Linked DNA regions of Mus musculus: regions 1, 2, 4, 5, 6 and 7 are each reported to be linked to region 3. The links are microRNA targets in miRTarBase. Many come from high-throughput screens and were not tested one by one. Region 3 holds a microRNA gene; each other region holds the end of a gene's coding sequence. Distances are from middle to middle.
Evidence for each region. The annotated mature microRNA mmu-miR-709 reads GGAGGCAGAGGCAGGAGGA and lies in region 3 at 2,135-2,153, shown strand. An mRNA with a match to its seed (bases 2 to 7 or 8) in the 3' UTR can be bound and repressed. Matches are read on the target gene's strand: a 7mer-m8 pairs with bases 2 to 8, a 7mer-A1 pairs with bases 2 to 7 and ends in A, and an 8mer does both.

Region 1: miRTarBase lists Npat as a target of mmu-miR-709. Seed matches in the 3' UTR shown: 7mer-m8 at 2,421-2,427 and 7mer-m8 at 2,427-2,433.
Region 2: the mRNA of Rbms2 is a reported target of mmu-miR-709. Seed matches in the 3' UTR shown: 7mer-m8 at 1,317-1,323, 7mer-m8 at 1,323-1,329 and 7mer-m8 at 1,700-1,706.
Region 4: miRTarBase lists Mrpl57 as a target of mmu-miR-709. Seed matches in the 3' UTR shown: 7mer-m8 at 776-782.
Region 5: miRTarBase lists Exoc8 as a target of mmu-miR-709. Seed matches in the 3' UTR shown: 7mer-m8 at 2,077-2,083, 7mer-m8 at 2,083-2,089, 7mer-m8 at 2,089-2,095, 7mer-m8 at 2,546-2,552 and 7mer-m8 at 2,552-2,558.
Region 6: miRTarBase lists Resf1 as a target of mmu-miR-709. Seed matches in the 3' UTR shown: 7mer-m8 at 883-889 and 7mer-m8 at 889-895.
Region 7: miRTarBase lists Tnfrsf26 as a target of mmu-miR-709. Seed matches in the 3' UTR shown: 7mer-m8 at 1,985-1,991, 7mer-m8 at 1,334-1,340 and 7mer-m8 at 1,328-1,334.

Annotation. Positions count from the first base shown.
Region 1 is chr9:53,572,175-53,575,269 of GRCm38, forward strand. It overlaps Npat (nuclear protein in the AT region), which reads left to right. Exons shown (of 18, transcript NM_001081152.1): 18 at 397-3,095. The coding sequence ends at 474. Among named protein-coding and RNA genes, the nearest start is that of Acat1, 37 kb to the right of the region's middle.
Region 2 is chr10:128,130,943-128,134,037 of GRCm38, reverse strand. It overlaps Rbms2 (RNA binding motif, single stranded interacting protein 2), which reads left to right. Exons shown (of 13, transcript NM_019711.2): 12 at 313-397; 13 at 671-3,095. The coding sequence ends at 393. Among named protein-coding and RNA genes, the nearest start is that of Gm51821, 6.9 kb to the right of the region's middle.
Region 3 is chr8:84,084,033-84,087,032 of GRCm38, forward strand. It overlaps Mir709 (microRNA 709), which reads left to right and starts at 2,067; the gene lies at 2,067-2,154. It overlaps Rfx1 (regulatory factor X, 1 (influences HLA class II expression)), which reads left to right. Exons shown (of 21, transcript NM_009055.4): 7 at 50-142; 8 at 1,541-1,635.
Region 4 is chr14:57,826,545-57,829,639 of GRCm38, forward strand. Mrpl57 (mitochondrial ribosomal protein L57) reads left to right here. Exons shown (of 2, transcript NM_026401.2): 2 at 1-2,201. The coding sequence ends at 281. Among named protein-coding and RNA genes, the nearest start is that of Mrpl57, 1.9 kb to the left of the region's middle.
Region 5 is chr8:124,892,829-124,895,923 of GRCm38, reverse strand. Exoc8 (exocyst complex component 8) reads left to right here. Exons shown (of 1, transcript NM_198103.2): 1 at 1-3,095. The coding sequence ends at 448. Among named protein-coding and RNA genes, the nearest start is that of Exoc8, 3.3 kb to the left of the region's middle.
Region 6 is chr6:149,334,249-149,337,343 of GRCm38, forward strand. Resf1 (retroelement silencing factor 1) reads left to right here. Exons shown (of 5, transcript NM_026054.3): 5 at 344-1,415. The coding sequence ends at 501. Among named protein-coding and RNA genes, the nearest start is that of Gm38930, 17 kb to the right of the region's middle.
Region 7 is chr7:143,607,198-143,610,292 of GRCm38, forward strand. Tnfrsf26 (tumor necrosis factor receptor superfamily, member 26) reads right to left here. Exons shown (of 8, transcript NM_175649.5): 8 at 488-2,863. The coding sequence ends at 2,847. Among named protein-coding and RNA genes, the nearest start is that of Gm15579, 8.6 kb to the left of the region's middle.

The DNA.
Region 1 (3,095 bases), not on the chromosome of region 3:
AAGCAAAAACACTCCCAAAAGCAGTCCTTTGACTTACACACATACACACATGCACACAATAAATCAGTATAGTATAGTAAAACAGTATCTGTTGGTAATGTTTTGTAAGTTTATGATTTGACACAAATGACCATTTTAAAGGAAGCATGTCTCTTGTCTGAACATTCATATATATACTCTAGATTTGTTTTTTTGCCTTTTGCCCTAAACTAACGTTGAATTGGGTTAATAAAACCTGTCTGTCTTTCCCTATGGAAATAAATTCTAACAAACTCAAAAATGATGCAATTTTAATAATAAAGAGCCTAATACGGTGTTTTAGGTGATTTGCTAAGAAAATTATCTGGCCTAGAGTTTATTGTTTTTCCTTCTCTTCTTTTTTGTTTGTTTTGACAGAAAAAGAAGCTACCTAGTTCATTTCCAGCAGGAATGGATGTGGACAAATTCTTGCTCTCATTGCATTATGATGAGTGAACGAACACCCAGACACAGAGACCAGTAGCTATTTAAAACTAGTGTCCTTCAGATGGCGAGTAGGAAACGGGCCAGAGACAGACTGCGAACATGACCTGCACTTTGACTGTACTGAGGTTTCACTTTATATCTAAGTCATGCTGTTTCTGAAGCAGCTTCCTAGTTTGTAAATAGACTCTCATGGAATATTTGTATTCTAAAAGAACATACGCAGAAATGTAAGTAAACCCAATCTGCAAAACTGTACAGCTTTGACACTGTATATTGTACATGTGTATATTGTGTAAAAATAGAGCTTAAATCAACCTAATATTCCCACACTGTCTTGATTGACTTCGCCCGAGGCTTATTCTTCTGGAGTACTTTCTCATCTCCTTTGGAGGAAGATGATAATTATTCTTACAAATTACCTTCAGCCAATATTAGATAAGCCACTAAGTAAAAAATAATAATGATAACCACCTCAACTGGTTAGTAAAATATCTAATCAGTAAACAACAGTTGGATGATGATTTCCCCCTAGAGTCAATATTTTATCACCCTTCATAAATTTCAGTAAAAACTATATTTCTGAAGTTTTATACTTTATTCTGATCATCTATTCTCTTTGTTTTAAAGAGATTTTTATAAACCATTTATTAAGTGTTCTGATATTTCACTTACAACTTTTTGAAATCTTTTACAGAACATTAAGTGGTTAGACTATTGAGCCATAAAAATTTGAGTTATGTAGTAGTCGAGATTTCTTGATTATATGTAAACTTTCCCTAAGCACTGGGGATACAAAGAATTGCACTAATTCATAGACTTTTTCACATACTAGTGACCAATGCACATTTAATTTAAATCTTGTATGTAAAAGCTTATATGGAGGATTGTCTTCTGGTGTCTTTGAAAGTCATATCCATCATAAGATGTAAAAATGCAAATCATAGTTATATTGTAATTTAGTTTACCCTGAAATGGGATGTGTAAATAACTGTGTTCATACATAACCTATAGAACCTTGTGTTCTTTAAAGTGTTATAAATAGTTACTCTCAAAAGGTCCTTAGGGGAGTGAGAGGTGCCTTCTCTGTGTTGGACTGACTCATAAACAACAGTCAAGTTGAAAAGCTGGCCTAAACTTTAAAGGAATGACAGAAATTATCATTAATACTTGACCGATTGTGCCTAGATATTGAAGTGTTTTCTTAAGTTCTTACTGTTTAAATATCAGCATATTAGGATTTTTTTTTCTACGGGTGTATATTTTATTAAAAAGTCACTTTCTTCAACCATTTTTTGTACTGGGCCTTTAAGAAATAAATCCATCCTACTGTAACAACAACAAAAACGTCTTCAAGATGTAAATTATGTCTTTTTAATTGCTAGATTTTACTGTACAAATTTATATTTTGAGAAATGTTCTATGACTGAGCTGTTCTACTCCTAAGGAGCTAACTAAGCATACAGTTACTGTTTGCATAACTCAGTCTGGGTCTGTCCTACAGTTAGGTTTGAATAAATATATTTTCATTAACTTTACCAGTTTGGATTTATATTTAGAAATTGGTTAAATTTCTTTGTAGCTTAGTTAATTCTCTGTGTTTTTCAGGAATTCATATAATGCAGGAAATTACAGATTTTCTCCTGTAACTCATATCTATGTGCTGCATAATGAGAATTCATATATAAACTAACTCATGCTCTTTTCTATAGCTCTATGTGTGTTTTTAGTCAGTGTCTTTCCTGTAGGCCAGGCTGGCTTTGAACTCATTACATAGTCCAGTGACTTTGAAGTCCTGGTCCTCCTCATCTACCTCCTCTAAGTGCCAATATTGCAGGCATGCACCATACACAGAGCTTCAGGATTCTTGTCATTTTGATTTGTTTCTTGAGATGGTAGCTATGTAGTTCTTGTTGACCTGTGTAGACAAGACTAACGTCAAACTCACAGAGATCCTCCTGCCTCTGCCTCCCAAGTGCTAGGGGTTAAAGGTGTATATTACCCCTCCTGGCCTTCAAGATTCTTAGTGAACTAGCTTGAAACCACTAGATAGTCCAAAGACAGTTAGTGCACACACACACACAAATATCAGGTATTTTTATATTTCTCTGTCATTTTCCTTTAGGAAAAGGGTTCTTCTGCTGGCTGGCCAGCAAGTCCCAGCTATTCTCCTATGTTTGTTTGCCATATCTGAAGCAAGGGTAAACACAGCCATTCCTGGCTTTTACATGGGTCCCTGAAATCCAAATTCAGATCTTCATCTGCTGTCTTCATGTTGTGGGTTTGGTTGTTTGGGGGGTTTTGTTTTTTCGCTGTTTTGGGGTTTTTTTTGGTTTGGTTTGGTTTTTGGTGGTAGTGCTGGGGTTCTTCAGGATAGGGTTTCTATGTGTAGCCCTGGATGTCCTAAAACAGAAATTCACCAGCTTCAGCCTCCCCAGTACTGGGCATAAAAGTATGTGCTACCACACGTGGCTACCACAGTTTTTTAAATAAACTTTCCTTTCCCATGCTCACATGCTCCTCTTACTGTGAGTCACAGTCTTTTACAATTCTAATGTCCAAAAACTTCTGACAACCAATTCTTTGTTATCCAACTTAACATTAAAGCTCATTTCATGGCAAAACATTGTTAA
Region 2 (3,095 bases), not on the chromosome of region 3:
GTACTGCCTACCGCCGGCATCCTCACTGGTGGTTGTGAGGAGAGCAGGAGGCGGCTTCATTGGTGTTTAGCCAGCCTGCTCTGTTCAATTTAGACAGGGATGCTGACTTCAGCTGCCTCAATACTCTGAAAATGAGCAAATGCTGAAGTATTTTCCAAGGTAGCTGGACCACTTTGCCCGCTTTCTGGCAGTCTGGATGTTGGATGCACACATGCGTTGGGGGCGGTGTGTGTGTGTGTGGCTGAATTGGGGAGGCTTTAGTGGGAGGTGCGTGTAGGAATGCTTCAGTAACTTTCCTTGGCTGTGATACAGGAGAGCAATGGCCAGCAGAATCAACTGGCAGTGGAGCCCCCCTCAGACCACGGGGTCTATCCTTTCCAGTTCAGCAAATAATGAGGTAAGAACTTTATGGTGGGGAATGCTGCTATGCTATGCTGAACTGGAAGATGGTGCTTGCAGCTTTGTTCTGCCAATAGCCAGACAGGTTAATTAATAGTCGTGTCCTCTTCGTATCGTCTCCAGCTAATGCCTCCTTTAGGATTCTTTCCCCCCATCTTTGTTAAACAGAAAGGAACTCTTGGAGATGCTCACAGACTCCAGAAGGTTTAGCAAGTTACAAGCCTAGCTGTAGCCTGCTGAGCACTAACACCTGGCTGTCATTCCCTCACAGGTCCAGACCTGGGGAGAGAAGCCTATGCAGTCCTCCTTGGGCTCCTTCCTGTGGCTGATGGAACCTGAGGAATCACGTTGGTTTTTTTTTTTGAATGTGCTACATTCAAGATCAAAAAGACTTTTTTTTCTTTTGCAAAAGAAGTTTCTTGCTTTGTATTTAATTGCAGCGAACCTTTCTCCTACCCCAAAGACACCAGTTGAGGTGCTTCTCATCTTCGAGAGGTTTGGGTATGTTGGGCTTTTAAAATGGTTTAAGAACAATCGCAGTGCTGTGAAGTCAGTGAAGGGGCGCTGCTTGCCAGGTTCAGTTAGGGACTATTTTCAATGTGTGTTTTAGATATGCAGGCTTAAAACTTTTGTTTTGCAAAGCTCTCAACACACACTTTGCACACACCCACCCACCTCCCTCCCACGCACTGTTTAAGGCAGGGTCTCACAGTGCAGTCCTGGCTGGCTGACAATGTAGACCAGGCTGGCTTTGAACTCAGCGATCCTTCCCACTCTGTCTGAGTGCACCGCCATGCCTAGCTAGTTGTTTTTTTTTTTTTGGTTTTTTTTTTTTCAAGACAGGGTTTCTCTGTGTAGCCCTGGCTGTCCTGGCGCTCACTTTGTAGACCAAGCTAGCCTCGAACTTAGAAATCCACCTGCCTCTGCCTCCCAAGTGCTGGGATTAAAGGCGTGCGCCACCACCGCCCGGCTAGTTGTTTTTTAAAACTTCTCCACAATGGTCTTTTTTTCTTTTCCATTTAGCTTAGCCTGCCTACTTTGCCTTTTTACAATTTTTAATTTTATGAATTTGATTTAAATTTCATGTGGAATTGGGGGAAGGGAGAGCAACGCACAGGTAGAGAAGTGTGGCAGTAGAGGTTGCTTTCCCTCTGCCCTCCTGGCCTAGGAGGGGTTAGACTTTGACTTCAGGAAGCAGACATGTGACAACCATGCAGCCTTTGGAAACCACCTTCAACCAACTCTGGTGGCAAGTGCCACTGAGAAGTGGCATCCAGCTTCAGCATCCTGGATACCTGCTCTGCCTCCTGGAGGGTCTTGGGTCTTCATCCTGCCCCAGGTCTCACAGCCCCTGCCCCTGCTGAGCAAGTTCTGCCTTCCACTTTACCAGGAGGTTGTTTTGTCCCCGAGAGGCTGCTGTCTTGTCCATCATCATCCTTGATTACCAAGCCTGGGGAGTATCATGTGTGCTGGTCCTGAACACCTGACAGAACCTGGCCCCACTCCTCCACCCCTTATTCCCTGGCAGTTATTTGGTGTAGACTAAACCCCAGTCCAGCCTTGGACATGGAGCCTGTTAGTTCATGTACTTGGCCAGCAGTGACATCTGTGACTTTGCCTCCTGGAGGATCTTTTCTGCCTGGGTTCTCACAGCCTCTCATCCCAGCTGCACATGGCTGTACTCAAGTGGTACTTGGCTGAATCACTTAATTCAGCAGGAGCCATCTTATTTAGCAGGGCTCACCCTTGGTTGTATGTACATGCCAAGTGCACACAGTTTGAAGGGATGAAAGCAAGAACTGTTGTGTATACTGTGCATGCTTGAGAATGGACTGAGCTTTCTCTATGCAGCATACCCAGCCCAGCCCTGGTGTTTGGACCCCTTCCCCAGGGAACCAGACCACCAGAAATAATTTTCCTTCTTGTGGAAGGACGACGGGGTGCTAGGATAGAAAAAGGCAAGACTCACAGCTCCCTGGCCACTCAAAGGTCAGGAGGGACTTGTAAACATGCCTGCCGTTAACTATTCCCTTCTGCAAGACTTTCAGCACAAAATGTGACTTGTTACATCACATCCCTTCACGTCATAAGTACACCTCCAGTAGACAAAGCAATGGAGATGGGGAAGTGTGTCCAGAGGTCAGTGTGAAAGAGGAAGGGCAGGGCATGGTGATGGTGAGAAACTGGCTCAGCAGCTGTGCACACTACAGAATTGGGAATCCTGGCCTGACTGTGCTGCTGTGCGTTCTAGACTGAGGAAGGGGCTGAGGACAATGGACAGCATAAAGTACAAAATGACCAGTTTTCTCATTGGTGCTTCCAACATCAGGAAGGTCATACCCAGTTATCGACCTCTAGCCCTCTAGCACTCAGTGACAGACTCAGAGCTCTGTCCTGTGGAAACCCTGCTGACAGTCTTGCTGCCACTGCTGCTCCTTCACTGCCTATTAAAAATTGTTCCTTTTTCTGTAGTTCTAAAGCAATTTGAATAACTGACAGTTTTAAAATTTGAAATTACCTTTTTAGGTTTTTCTTTTGAGTATACTGGTTAGGGTTCTAGTGTTTCTGGTTGAACAGGTGTGAGCATGGGAAATGAGGGCAACCTGTAATTTTGTTTTTATAGTGGTTAATGGCACTCACTGTGTAATTTCTGCTTAGTGATTTCCATCCACTCTTTTCCTCATTAGCTCATTACT
Region 3 (3,000 bases):
GCCATGGTTACCATACTCGAACTTGCCTCTCCTTGCCCTTCTTTGCCAGAGGTCAGTAGTCCAGGCCACTCCACAGACCAAAGCTGGCCCGGTGCAGCAGCTGACTGTGCAGGGACTGCAGCCAGTTCACGTTGCTCAAGAGGTGCGTGTCCTATCTGTCTATGTCGGGGCAATCAGACTAGTCCTGGGCTGTGGCTGGAGGTACAGGCACCTAATCCAGAGGGAGGAATGGAGCCAGCTGGGGACCCTAAAGGGCAGACAGTGGGGGCAATTGAGGTTTGAAGCCCTGCAGAAGTGAGGTTTCACTCTAGCCCTCGGCTTCAGACTTCATCCTGAATCCGTCCCCATCCCAGCACCTGACCACTCAGGACACAGGTCTTGTTGAAAGAGGGCTGGATTCGAATTCCGCTTCTTTCTGATAGTGCCCAGTTCGTTCCTCTCTTCTCTAAGGAGATCCCAAGTGGGGAATCTTCATTCGGGTGGCCATGAGTTCACAGCCGGGTGATACCCCAGTGTCTCTGTTTGTCCTCCAGAGCTCAGGCAGTCAGTTTCCCGCTAGGAAGGCAGAGCAGCAAGAAACCCGGCCCACGCCGCCGCCGGAGCCGCCGCCCCGGCCTCCCGGGCCTGGGCCAGTGTGCTGCGGCGAGGTCTTGCAGCTAGGCAGCGAGCAGCAGCCGCTCCATTACGAGCCGGGTGTGGAGCAGTGGGTGGAGCTGGTGGGCATGCTGCCCCCACACCTGCTCCTGCCGCAGCAGAGGGTGGTCTTCGAGCCACAGCGGGGGCTCTCGGCCCGAGCCAGCCCCGACCTGAGGGTCAGGATCCACAGAATGCCCCAGGTGCTAGTGTTCGGCACCGCCCTCAAAGTAGGTGGCGGCGGACAGCGGAGGCACGGCAGGGGGCGGAGGGCGGGCAGGGGAAGGGCATTCAGCCCAGCAAGCCGCTTTGCCTCGCCTTCAAGTCCAGGCTCCCAGGCTTCGCCCCTGCAACCCAAGGCGGGTGGGGTGAGATGTCTTTACCCTGTCCCCCAAAGTGCTGCCAGTCATTCTTGTTCTGCCTCAGGGACTGGGTCCCAGACACGGCTCCTGCAAACCAGGGTTGGGGGTGGAGGTAGGCTATCCAGTACCTGCCCCTAAGGTGTTGTCAGTTGTTTCTAGTTGTTCTATCAACTGATCCCTCTTCAGGCTCCACCCCTAATCTGCTTGGGAAACCTTTTTGGTTTCCAGAAAACCCCCAGGCCCGGTTTTTAGATTGCAAACCCACCTCTCAAGCCCATTGCAGAATTCTGTCTGGTATCCCCTCCTTTGCTCATAAGCCTTAGAAACCTCTTTGCCAAAGCAGAGAATCCCAGCACCTCCTGTTTTCCAGCCACAACTGAGACCTGGCCCCACCTAAGCCTCCTACCTAAGCCTCCCACCTCTGGCCCATGTTGTTCAGAAAACCATGATGTGCAACCTTCTAGATGGGGATGTATGTGGGCATCAGTGAACCCGTGGGTGGTGGTCAGCCCTGACCCATGACCCTGCTTTTCCTCCTGCTTCAGGTACAGCAACTCCCTCAGGTGCCTGTCCCACACGTGTATTCCAGCCAGGTGCAGTACGTGGAAGGTGGCGATGCCAGCTACACAGCCAGCGCCATGTAAGTGGGCAGAGGGTGGAAGGAGGGCTCAGATGTGGTTAGGGCCACAATTCTAACTCCCAGCTGGCCCCCAAGGCTCAGGTGATAGCCCCACACCTGTGGGGTGCCAGGAATATAGGCAGCTGGTAGCAGAAGAGACACTGGCCCATTGGGAAGGCACCTCCACAAATTAGGAGCTGTGCAGTTAGATGGATCTGGATTTTAGGCAGGAAAAGGGGAAAGAAAAAGCATACATATATGTATTTATACATACATTTTTACAACATAAACTTTTTTTGAGACAATGTCTCTCTGTATAGCCCTCACTGCCCTGGAACTTGATCTGTAGACCAGGGTAGCCTTGAACTCAGAGATTTGCCTGACACTTCCTCTCTCGTGCTGGAACCACAGGTTCTCAATCTGACCCTCAGTGTCCCACAGAGTAATTAGTGTGTCCCGTTTCTCTGCTTCTACTCAGAAGTGCTCTGAGCATAGAACTGTCCTGTTTGAGCAGCACTGGGGAGGCAGAGGCAGGAGGATTGTCTTTTGTTATATTGACTTATGTGTGGGGAGAGTGCATGTGCTGTGGTGCAGGTGGAGATCAGAGAACAACCTAGAGGAGTCCGTTTTCTCTCTCCTTTACACAGGTTGCAGGGGCAAATCCAGTTCCTCGGGCTTGCATATTCTGTCTTACAATTTTTCTTGGGGGTTAGGGAGATAAATCAGTAAATGGCTTGCTTCTTGCTTATCAGACCTGAGAAGCAAGGTCATGACCTGAGGTCAGAACTCAAGTACTAGGTAAGAGGTTCATGTGGTGAGTCTCTGACCCCAGAGCCACCTTGCTGGCCCTCGTGTGTGTGTGTGTGTGTGTGTGTGTGTGTGTGTGTGTGTGTGTGTGTGTGTGTGTGTGTGTGTATACACATGTGTTCGAGTGTGTGCATGGGATGATGGGGGGGGGTTGTATGCACCATGTATTGAGCGTAGTGCCAATGCTAACACTGGAGTCTGTTTGCTGTGTGGCTTTGGGGATCAACCCCAGGTCTTCGGTCTTGATGGCAAACATCCCCACCCACTGAGCCACCTGCAAGGCTCAAGTTTTCCTGCTTTAATCACTGTCACATTGGGAGGGCTCAAAGAGCAAAAGTGAGAGGTGGCCCTGCCTGTCCCCTCCCCACAGAGAGCCTTCTGCCTACACACAGGGTGGTCTTTTCCTCATCCCAACCTCTCGTTTCTGGCTGTCCATCGGTACCCAGTGGAGGACTCAAGGCAATCATGTTGCGTCTCCTCTTCCTGCCTCACCCCCTCTAGTCTGCAGCCTGCAGAGATGGGCCCAAATGTTAGGGTGGCTTGCTTGCTACAGTTGCCCCTCTTAGATCTGCGGCTTAT
Region 4 (3,095 bases), not on the chromosome of region 3:
GCCGCATTCCGGGCAGGCAGTGGATCGGGAAGCACCGGCGGCCGCGTACCGTGTCTTTCCAAGCGAAGGAGAGCATGATCCGTCGCCTGGAGGTGGAGGCCGAGAACCACTACTGGCTCAGCATGCCCTACATGACAGCAGAGCAGGAGTGCGGCCACGCCGCGGAGCGACGGGCCCAGGCTTTTGAAGCCATCAAGGCAGCGGCCACTTCCAAGTTCCCTAAGCATAGATACATTGCAGACCAGCTAGACCATCTCAACATCTCGAAGAAATGGTCCTAACCCTTCAAGATTATGGATACCGGACTGCTCTATCCTTACTTGGTCCTGGAGCTGAGAAAATGTAATTTATGTACCAGTGTGACCCCTTCGACCAGTATCTTATTAAAGCAAACATGATTGATTAATAGTTGTCTCATACGGAATACTTGGGACCCTACCTAGGCGTTTGTTTCACACCTGTAATCCCAACATTAAGAGGTGGAGGCAGGAAAATCTTTGCTGATGTAGTTAGTAAGACCTAGACTCAGAAGGCCAAAAGAGACTGTTTGAGGCTCCATATGTGCATAATCGGTCTATTTTCAGGGTTGTTTTTTATTTTTTCTGGCCTAAAGCTTGCAGCAGCCCTCCCTGTGCCTAGCTACTGGAATTACAGGCATGGTTCCCTGCCCTTCTGTAAAATGTGGGGTTTTTTTTTTTTTTGTTTGTCTCACTATATAGCCATAGAACTTGCTGTATAGGCTAGGCTGGCCTTGACCTCCGAGATCTACTGGCCTCTGCCTCCCAAGTGCTGTGACTAAAGGCAAGTGCCACCATACCTTGCACCTTTTAGATTTAAATGCTGTAAAACTACAAACTGATGAGTCTTAAGGCTGAGGTACTTGGCTAGAGCTTTGTTGTACAAGGGGTGTTTTCTTACTTTCTGTCTAGGATAGCCATTCTCAACCTGTTGGGCATGACCCCTTGTGGTGGTTGCAGAACCCTTTCATGAGGCTGAGTATCAGAGATTTGTATTATGATAACAGCAAAATTACAGTTGTGAAGTAACAATGAAAATAATGTTATGGTTGGAGTCACCACAACATGAGGAACTGTATTAAAGAGTGTAAGGGAGGTTGAGAACCACTGCTCTAGAATAGAGCCTGCCTTTGATTTCACAGCATTCTGTAAGTGGAAGTAGGATCTGAAGTGTTAGGTCAACTTCCATGCAAATTTGAGGCCAGCCTGAGATAGATGAGACCATTTCCCAAAAGAAGAGTGTTTTCTTTTAGAATTTGGATTCTGTGAGTGGACGTGTGAAGTAAAGATGTTTACTAGAACTGTTAACAGGAAAATTTCTGTTTGTTTGGTTTTTTGAGCTCGTCTATATTGCCCACCTTAGCCTGGAACTCCTAAATGGATACAAACAGTGCAATTTTTTTTTAAAGTTTGTTTAAAAACACCGTTTTTGGTTTTTTGTTTTTTTTTTTAATGTTGTTGGTTTGTTTTTCAAGACAGGTTTTCTCTGTGTGGCCCTAGATGTTGTCAGACTCACTCTGTAGACCAGGCTGGCCTCAAACTCATAGAGAACTGCCTTCCTCTTGCCTCTTAAGTGCTGGAATAAAGGTGTGTACCACCACCACCTGTGCACACAACTTTTTTGAGTAGGTCTGTGTAGGTTGTTGAACTTATGGACTGAATTGATCCTCCTGACCGAGTCTCCCGAGTTTCTGGGTCTACAGATGCAGAGCAACTTGGGATTTTTTTATTATTAATATATTTTTTTTGATTTTTCAAGACAGGGTTTCTCTGTATAGTATTATTTTTTTAATACAGATCTTACTGTATAGTCTTGGCCTCAAATTTAGATGGGCACCGATCTCTGTCTCCCTAGTGCTATATACTACCATACCCAATCCTTTTTAATCTTTTGAGTTGGTGATTTCATAAAGTTACCAAGAGAAAAAAGTACAAGTCCATTGTAACTATAACCAAGTAACATTTTTCCTCTAACCATATCAAAACCTAGAAATTGCTATACTCTGTAGAGCTTTGCATATGCACCCATGTTTATGTGTACAAGTCTACTTAGTTGTCATATAACCATGGTTCCATTGCTATAGCATCCTTCATTCTCTTTGTAGAAACCTGACTTCCCCACTATTGTTCATCTCTGTTTTTGGGAAGAAGGATCTGTAAGTAAAATAATTTATATTGGCTTTTTAAAAATGCATAATGTAATTTATTTCCTTTGCCATCCATTCTGGTGGTTACATTTTTCAACGATTTGAACTTCCTTTTTTTAAATGTGTAGCCCAGGCTGGCCTTGAAGTCAGTGATCCTCCTGCCTCTTCCCCTCAATTGCTGGGATTGTAAGTATGCACCACCATGCCTAGCAAACTTGCTTGTTGACTGCATTAGTGTATCATGGGCCTTTTTGTGAATCTATACAGATCCCATATTTCTATTACATGCACAATAATATAGATATGCCTGTTAACATCTATTGGTAATGGACATTTATTTTTTTTTCTCCAATAAACCTTGCTGTCAAGCATGTCAGTATACATGCATTCTTAATGACTACAGTGTGTGGAACAGTCTTAAAAGTGGTAATGAATCCTTTGTACACTGCCACTGTCAAAATGGTGTCCATTAATACTGTACCACTTTATGCTCAGCAGTAACACAGAAGATACTAGTGAATTTGTTTCTTGCTGTACTGTTTATGGTAGCAAAATTAAACAGTGAAAGAAGAATAAAGTATGATCCAGAGACTGCTGACCTACAAATAGTCACTGTCCTCCAGTGCTGGGATTATAGGAGTTTTTTCAAACTGTACTTCCAGCACACACAAAACATCTCCAAAACTTTGAAAGGGCTACATGATACAGGCATCACTTTCATTTGAAAAGGTTGAAGCCAGGCGGTGAGGGTGCACACTTAATCCCAGCACTTGGGAGGGAGAAGCAGACAGATCCCTGAGTTCAAGGCCAGCCTGGTTTACAGAGTGAGTTCCAGGACAGGCAGGGCTAGCTGTCTGCTTGCTTACCATGTGCAAAGGCCCAGGCTGGAGGCCTAGAACAGGAAAAAGACTAAACAAAAAAGCCAAGAAAA
Region 5 (3,095 bases), 41 Mb from region 3:
CATGAACCTGATGACTCCTGAGGCCCTGGGCAAGCTCAAGGAGGAGATGAAAAGTTGCGGGGTCAGTAACTTTGAGCAGTACACGGGAGATGACTGCTGGGTGAACTTGAGCTACACGGTGGTAGCCTTCACCAAGCAGACTATGGGCTTCCTGGAGGAGGCATTGAAACTGTACTTCCCTGAGCTCCACATGGTGCTCCTGGAGAGCCTGGTAGAAATCATCCTGGTGGCTGTGCAGCATGTGGACTACAGCCTGCGCTGTGAGCAGGACCCCGAGAAGAAGGCCTTCATCAGGCAGAACGCATCCTTTCTCTATGAAACTGTCCTCCCGGTGGTGGAGAGGAGGTTTGAGGAAGGTGTGGGGAAGCCCGCCAAGCAGCTGCAGGACCTCCGGAACGCATCCCGGCTCCTGCGGGTGAATCCCGAGAGCACGACTTCTGTGGTCTGAGGCTCTGCTCTGTGTCTTTGTGTGTGTACGTGTACACGTGCTACAGATGCGTCATTTGTATTTACATTACACAATGTCAGCACATTCCTCAGAGACACAGACAGCATATAAAAGTGCCCTCTGAAAAATGCAGTCAAAAGGAGAAAGATAATGTGTTAAGCATCACATACAACCCCCCAATACTGGGACTGTCAAGAGCACATACCATGTCTTGCTCTGTTTTTTAATAATTCTTTAAGTAGAGTGTATGGTCACACCAGAACATTTCAGGCTACTCTTTAACTTGAAAGACACTTCTCACGTTAGCACATCTAGGAGCAGTGCACTTCCATGCTGCCTAGAAAAATATTAGGTCCACAGGGTTTAAGTATGTTGTAAAACATTCCAAGTCAACAAAATGGCTTCGTAATGGTCAGTGCTGTGTGACACACCTGTGTCCTGTACTGAGACAGATCAACATGAAAAGAAATGAGTTGGGAAAACTGGTTTGGGATAAATTTCAATATGTGGGCCTCAGGTCTGTCAGTATTTGTAGCATGTGGAAGGAAGCCTTTATAAAACTTTGCAGGCATCCAAAAGTCACTGAAAAGTAGCATGTTCCATGGCTAATTGGATGCATCTTTTTGGGGGAGGTGGGAGAATCACAAGGACTACGTTGAATTTTTAACATATTCCAGAACTGAATGGATTTGCTGCTGCAGCGTGTTTTGCCATGTTCAGGAAGTAAGTCTTGCTGAAAAGCCACACCAAGGATCCTAGCAGTAGGCGGGTAAGTGACTCCAGCCCCTGCAGACACTTCACCACCAGCCTGGGTTTGGAGGCACTGAGACTTCTGGCAAATGCAGAACTCCCTGTCTGAGAAGAGTTCAGGCTGTGTGTAGGTTAGGAGTTTTAAAAAAAAGAATGCAATGTCACTCCTTAAGAATGCCAGAGATTTGGTTTTGGTCATTTTGTTTTCTTGAGATAAGTTTCAGCCCAGACTGGTTTTGGGCTGGTGCTGTAACCAAGGATGACCTTGAATTTCTAATCCTGACTCCACATCCCAAGGGCTGGGATTACAGGAATGTGCCATAATGCTATTTATGCTGTGTTGGAGAAAAAAAACCCTGGCTTTCTCATACTAGGCAAGCACCCTACCCACTGCTACACCTGCTGCCCTGATGGTTTTTGAAACTTAGTAACTGAGTAGAGATGCACATACCTCAAGCACAGGGAAGGGACCTTCTGTGACTCTTCAAATGCTGTGCTGCATTTTAAAAAACAAGAGCCTGGCATGCTGGTGCACACTTTTAATCAGAGCACTGGGAGGCAGGAGCAAGCGGATCTCTGAGTTCAAGGCCAGCCTGATCAACAAGGTGAATTTCAGGACAGCCAGGGATCTGTAGAGACCCTGCCTTAAAAACAACTTTTAAGAGAATTCCAGATTGTAATACTTACTTCAGGTTGTTGAGTAGGGATAGGTGGGTAGGTGGAGCCCCTAAGCTTTTATTTTTTTTTCTTTTTCTTTTTTTGGTTTTTTTTTTGTTTTTTTGTTTTGTTTTTTGTTTTTTCAAGGGTTTCTCTGTATAGCCTTGGCTGTACTGAAACTCACTCTGTAGACCAGGCTATCCTTGAACTCAGAAATCCTCCTGCCTCTGCCTCTGCCTCCCAAGTGCTGGGATCAAAGGCATGCGCCACCATGCCCGGCTTGCCCCTGATTTCTAAAGTGAGCTCTGCTCTGATCACTTAATGTCCTGTTAGAATGTGGGTGCTGAAACCCATTTTCCCACTAGCTTGTAGCTGTGGGTTTTGTCAACGATGCCATGTTTTTATGTCCATTGGGTCTAAAGGCTATTTCTTGTCTCTTGAATAAAAGAGGTAGTAGTAAGCCATAAAATGATGTAAAACCCTAAATGGCTTCTGCAGTGATTCAGGGTTGTTAAGACTCCTCAGCTTCATTAACTCATCAGGCCAGCAGTTTCTCTGTCTTTTTCTAGCTCTCCATGCATAGAAAGATCGCAGAGGTCACCACTGCAGCCTTCCACTTTCCCATGTTAGGGTTTGTTGATTTAAATCAACAATGAAGACCAAGCGGGTCTTGAACTCACAGAGGTCATCCTGCCTCTGCCTCCTGAGTGCTGGGATTAAATTATGCTCCACTATGCCTTGCTAAGTTAGAGTTTTCTACATAACCATAACTGGATGTCCCAGCCAAACAAATGTACTCATTTCTCTTAAGCTCACTGGACTTGGATTTGATGAAATTGTGTGGCTGCGATGCCGATTTGGTGCCACTTGGAATTTAATAGATAAACCGTGCATAAGGCCTCGAGGTGTAAGAAGGCTAACATGTTTCCCCACATAATAAATGGCTGTATCTTTATGGAAATGGAAGTAGAGAACTTTATTCTGCTAAGAACGGGCTAATGTGTTCCTCTGTGTAGCTGAGGGAATGCAGTCTGGGAAATCTGCAGGAAGCTTGAAGGATTGTCTAGCAGTGGTAGTTCCACACATGCTGACGTGCTGTGACATTAACCACCTTTTGTTTGCTTTAAAACTAACTGCATAGACCAGGAATCACAGACTGGGTTAATTTCAGTTAGAGAATTCAGCCTCTGATGAGAGCCTCCTGTCATGAAATGCTCAAAGTCATTGCTGTGACTTTGGT
Region 6 (3,095 bases), not on the chromosome of region 3:
CTTAGCTGACTTGGAACTCTCCTTTTAGATAGACCAGGCTCAAACTCAGATCTAAATGCCTCTGTTTCCCAAGTGCTGAGGCTAAAGATAGCCACCACCAAACTATCTCTCTAGGTCCTCCTTTGGTTTTTTGAGGCAAATTTTTGCCGTGAAACTCAGACTGGCCTTGAGTTGAAGATTCTCCTTCCCCAACCTTGAAAATGCTGAGATTATAGGCATGCACTGCCATTTCAGCTATCTGGCTTTGTTTTCTGTTCCCATACAGATACTGTACATTTTGTCTCACTTCTGATTGTTGTATATTTGTTGTACTGAACATTAAGTATCATTTTTATTTTCTCAGATAGTGCTGACTCAAGACTTTCTAAGAGAAGCCTCAGTGCAGATGAATTTGAAATACTACAAAACCCAGTAAAAGAATCAAATATCATGTTCCGGACCTACAAAAAGATGTACCTTGAGAAGAGAAGCAGAAGCCTCGGGAGTAGTCCAGTTAAATAGTCCCAGGAAGTCATGGTTTTTGTTTTTACCAAGAGAACACCCCTAGTCTTTTCTTTTCAGGCTCCCTTGCAGAAAATACCTCAGGACAGTCACATCGGGATTTCTCAGCCAAGGAGTTCCTGTATAGCTTTTCACTGATACTATGTGACTGAAATGTTGGATTAGCTGCTGGTGAGCAGGCAAAAAGAAAGATTGCATTTGTCTGGGAATTACAAAGTGTATGCTAATGATGCAGTGATCTGCATTGTTGAACTGTGTTTACTGGGTTTTTTGTTTTGTTTTCTTTTTTTTTTTTTTTTTTTGAGACAGGGTTTCTCTGTAGCCCTTGCTGTCCTGGAACTCACTCTGTAGTCCAAGCTGGCCTTGAACTCAGAGATCCACCTGCCTCTGCCTCCCGAGTGCTGGGATTAAAGGCCTGCACCACCACGCCTGGTTCACGTTTACTGTTTTAAGTCTTGCTGGCACAGTGGTGCATACCTGTGACCCTAACATTTGACTCGTGGACACAAGAGGATCAAGAATTCAGGGTCATTCTCAACAGAATAGTGAGTCTGGTGAAGTCAGCTTAGGCTACATGGGAGCCTCTCTCTAAAAGCAAAACAACAGCAACCAAAAAAGGGGAATGAGGGTGGCTTATACAAACCTTACTTTGAAATGCTGTCATCCTGAGGTAACTTGGTTGTTTGACTGGGGCTGTAAATAGATTCTTGTTTCTAAGCACATTAGCAAAATTTATTTTTCAGAAAGTGCCCATTGTGAATGTCAAAGTATATTCCAAGTATTTTGTACCTCATTGTAAAGGTTTTTTCAGAAGTCTTGTTTTATACTTTTGTTAAAGTGAATGGAGTTTTTGGAAGATGTCTTAACATTACTTTTCATACTTGAAATAAACATTTATTTTTTAAAGAACTACAGTTTAAGTCTTCATGGTTCTGTAAGGGCCTGTGATTCCTGAAAAATGATACCCTAGATTCAAACTATGCAACAATAAAGAGCATTTATTCTGCAGAGAACCAGCATGGAAGGGTCTACCACACATCGGGATGAAAGACGATAAAAGACAGATATGGACCTTGCAGGATCAATTTAAAGCCTGTTAGGGTAGTAGTGGTGACGGTTATCTTTCTTCCCCTTGATTGGTTGGATATATCTCCAGGGATATGGTTGCCTTTGTGATTGGTTTAGGCTCTGGAAGATTTGGGGGACTTTTGCTGATTAACTATCAGCTCAGGCTAGGTAGTGGGGCAGCTTCTGACTACTCCTCGATAGGCTATGCGTGAGGGGTGGGTTTTTCTGGAATTGACTTGTTTTGGACTTTTCCAGTTCTGGGAAACAGAAACTTAGGCCTAGTCTCCCAAACTGCCAGTTTGCAGCCTGTCATGGAGGCAGCCTAACTCAGGCTAACTTAGTCCTCTCAGTTCCATTTCTCTATGGTTTTGTATCCTCACTAATAGACGCATGTGGATAAGTCAGATATGATGGCACAACCCCTGGGAGACTAAGGCAGCCTGTGCTACACTGGGAACAGAATGTTTGCTTCTAGGAGAGCATTGGTTATTTTTAGAAAACTTTTGCCTCTTGCAGTAGTGGAAATGTAGGACCCAAAGAGCCTTATGTCTGGGATGTCCCACTCACAGAAACACAGAGACAGAGATTGATGCAACAAGCAAGAGGTTTTGTAAGACTCCAGGAGCCTTAGCTTACTGGGGACCCCCTGAGTGAACTGCGTGGAACTATGATCTATGCAAAAAGCAAGAGGAATTTATTTTACCAGTGCACTGGGGTTGCCCCAGACTCGAAGGAGAGGCGGCAACCCCTAGAACCCCTTCGGTGAGTTTTTATATGGTTTCTAGGGGCAGAATAGAGCATCAGCAACTAGGCACAATATGATTGGCAGAACAGTGCACCCTTTAAACTGATTGGTCTTTAGGGAATGAGGTGACAAGGACTTCCGATGTCTGAAAGTGAGCAATAGTCCTATGGAATGTGTCCCCAAACACAGGTTGGTTCCCACCCTGTGATCTGAGAAATGTTAATTAGCCTCTTTGGAGGGGCAAGTGTTTCATGACCTTCTCAAAGTTCCTAAGCTGACCTTTTCATTACTATCTTATACGTCAAAAAGAAAATAATTTTTTCACCATTATATGCTCATTTCTACCTCTTGTTTTCTTTTTCCTCCCCGCCTCCCTTTCTTAAGGGTTTCACTCAGACCTTGCTGACTTGGAACTAACTATATAGCCCAACTTGGCTTTAACTCAGTGCTATGTTCCTCCCCTCTCCCCCCAACACACACACCATTGTTTGTTTGCCTTAAAAAGATATATTGTGTTTGTGTGTGTGTGTGTGTGTACCCACCCATATGATGGCCTGCAGAGTTCAGAGCACAGCTTTAGGAAGATGGTTCCCTCCTTCTATCATGTAGATTCTGGGGAGTTGAACTCAGGTTTTCAGACATGGCTTCAAGTGCTGTTACCCACTGAGTCATGGCTCTTATTTATGTGATTTTTATTTGGTTGGGTTTTTGTTTTTTTGTTTGTTTTGTTTTTTGGGTTTTTGTTTTTGTTTTGTTTTTGGAGAAAAGGTCACTCTGTGTA
Region 7 (3,095 bases), not on the chromosome of region 3:
TCCATAAGACAATAGGCAAGCCTGTGGGACCTTTTATTTTTTGAGACAGGGTCTCTCTAGTCTCTGTTCTGGGACTTATATGTAGACCAGAATGGCCTAGAACTCATACAGATCTGCCTGCTTTCCATTTGGAGATTAAAGATTTGGGCCATCACACTTGGCTACATTTTGTTGAAAAAATGATTGATGTGGGAGGGCCCAGCCCACTGTGGGTGGTGTCACCCCCTGGGCAGGTGGTTCTGAGGTATGCAAGAAAGCAGGCTGAGAAAGCCATAAGGAGCAAGTCTTCCTCTGTGGTCTCTGCTTCAGTTCCAGCCTCCAGGTTCCTGCTTGAATTCCTGCCCTGACTTTACTTCGTGATGGACTACAAGGTGTACAACGAAACAAACTCTTTCCCCCAGGCTGCTTTTGGTCTTAGTGTCTGCCACAGCAATAGAAACCTAACTAAAACACATCATTACATATCAAGTAAAATGTTTTTTAATTAAGAATCAACCATCACATAATACAAAGAAAAAGGAAATGGTCAAAGCACATACTGTGATATTGTACAACTTTGAGCAGAAGCACCACCTTGGTAGCATTAATATTTCAAAAAGCTCAAAGCACACAAACGGGTCTTGGGGCCTGACATCATCCCTAGTCCTGAAGTAGAAGCAAAAACACAGCTTTCAAAAGGAATTAGAAATACTTTATTTCGTACCCAAATTTCAGTGACCATGGCCCTAGAAGCATAGATTTAGGTACCCCAATTTCATGGCTCCATGGAGTTTTGTAGAACAGAACAAAAAGTTATAAAGTAAGGCGTTCTTCAGACACACTAGAGGAAGGGTTAAACGTTACAGCACAGTGATAATCTCAGCTCTGGCTTCAGATATATGACAGCATTCACAGTACTTGGACTGGTGGAGAATAGTTTTATCAAGTGAATAGTTCTATAGTGTTGGTTAGTTTGGTTTGGTTTGGTTTGGTTTGGTTTGGTTTGGTTTAAATCTGTTGTCAGGATGTTTGGGGATCTCTGCAAACACCAAGGCTGGCAGCCTAATGATCCATTTGAGGCCAAAAGGAAATCCAGTTCAACACAACTTAGCCTATGCTAGGTCAAACTTCTAGAGTCTGACCCCAGCAGTTTACTTTAGCTGTATTTAAGCACAGCACAAATTTCCGGGGGAAGTTTTTTGATGATAATTAACTCGGTCACTTATGTACAATAATGCTTAAGACAGGTTGACATTGACACAGTTTACAAAGTACTTATGGCCTCTTCCGTAAAGACGGGATCTGTTAGCTTGGCATGGTGATGCACAACTTCAATCCCAGCACTTGGGAGGCAGAGGCAGGTAGATTCCTGAGTTTGAGGCCAGACCGGTCTACAGAGTGAGTTCCAGGACATCTGGGGCTACACCAAGAAAACAAACCAACCAAACAAACAAAACAAGATAAGTTTGGCAGAGGTAGAGGTCTATTGACTCACAAACAGTGCTGGAGATACAGGTCTAAGAAGAAAAAATCTGGGATAAACACATATAAAAATCGGTGGCAGTCAAGAGTGGCCTGGCCCTACAGGTAGCACAGAGGTCCCCTAGGCTTTTCTAATATACAAGTGACAGTGACATCTCCTATAAGGATGAGATTTATTGAGCAACAGTATTCAAGAAAAGGGCCTATTGGCAGGCAAAAGGCCTATGGAGGAAGAGTCTGGGATAAACAAAGACAATAGTCTGTTCAAGTGTGTGCTAGGTCTACAAATAGCACAGAACACCAGGATGTTAACTATATCCATTCCCAGACATCTGGGTGGAAAACAGGTCTACTTCTCTGTGAGCACAAGAACCTTGTGCCCTCTACAGCATGTTAGTTCTGACCCAGAGGGAGGCAAGACATTGCTTAGGTTGGAACAGCCTAAGCTATGCCTCTCTACATCATTAAAATGTTAAGCCAGGCAGTGATGGTGTATGCCTTTAATCCCAGCACTCAGGAGGTAGAGGCAGGTGGATCTCTGTGAGTTCCAGGTCAGCTTAGCCTACAAAGGGAGATCCAGGATAGCCAAGGCTACATAGAGAAATCCTATCTTATTAAAAACCAAAAATAAAATAAAATAATAATAAATTAATCAATTAACTTATGTAGACATAGCTTCTGAGAAATTCCCATTCACACCTCCATCTGCTCACTGTGGGTTGAGAGGACTAAAGACTAAGGCTAGTTCTGAGATGCCTGGGGGATGGAGAGCCTAAAAACACAGACACTATTCCCAGTGTCTGATGTGGCAAAGTCCACAGTTGCTCAGGCTGGCCTGCCAGGGGCTTTGTTATGGGTTTTTATGGATAACAAAGCACCTTGTCTGGGCCACATCCTGATGTGGGCTCAAAGGACAACATTTTTGGGTCCTCCCATCCTTGCCTTCTAGGAAAACATACTGAGCACCATGAACCCAAACTGACTTTAGCTTACGAGTTCACAGCACAAAACCTCCTAACTCTGAGGCCAGCCAAGGCAGGCTTCAAGGAGAGAAGCCCTCTGGCTGCATACAGAGAGAAACCCTCTGGTCTTCACAAGAGAGAAGGGCACATCATATATCTGGGGGTCCACGGGGTATGCAGTGGGATGAATGTCAGCTCCAAATTCAGATGGGCTATTTGGAATGTTTCAGTCCTGTATCAAAGGACACTTGACTCTAGCTCGAGGGTGAAGCAAACACAATTTTTAGCAGCTAAGTTGCCACAGTTTGCAAATACATTCCTGCAAGGTCAGTCTCCAGTTTAGAAACAATAGTGTTCATTGCTTCCTCGACTTCCTTAAATCCAGTGATCTTCAGGAATGCCATCTGCTTACTTTCCGGAGCTTCATAGCATAGTGGAGGCTGGAAAATAAAACACAAAGTGAACACACACACACACAACCAAGGGTCGGTCTATTTATATCTCTTGAATGTTGAGGAGGAAAGTTGCAGTGGTTCTGTGATTCTGCTTCTCAGGATAGGAGAGGCTCTTTGTGTCCTCAAGTAATACCCAGTGGTCAGGAGACCCAGGCTGGGACAGGGCTGATCAAGACTGTCACTAACCTATTATCCATCTGTTACTCAGGTGGCAGAA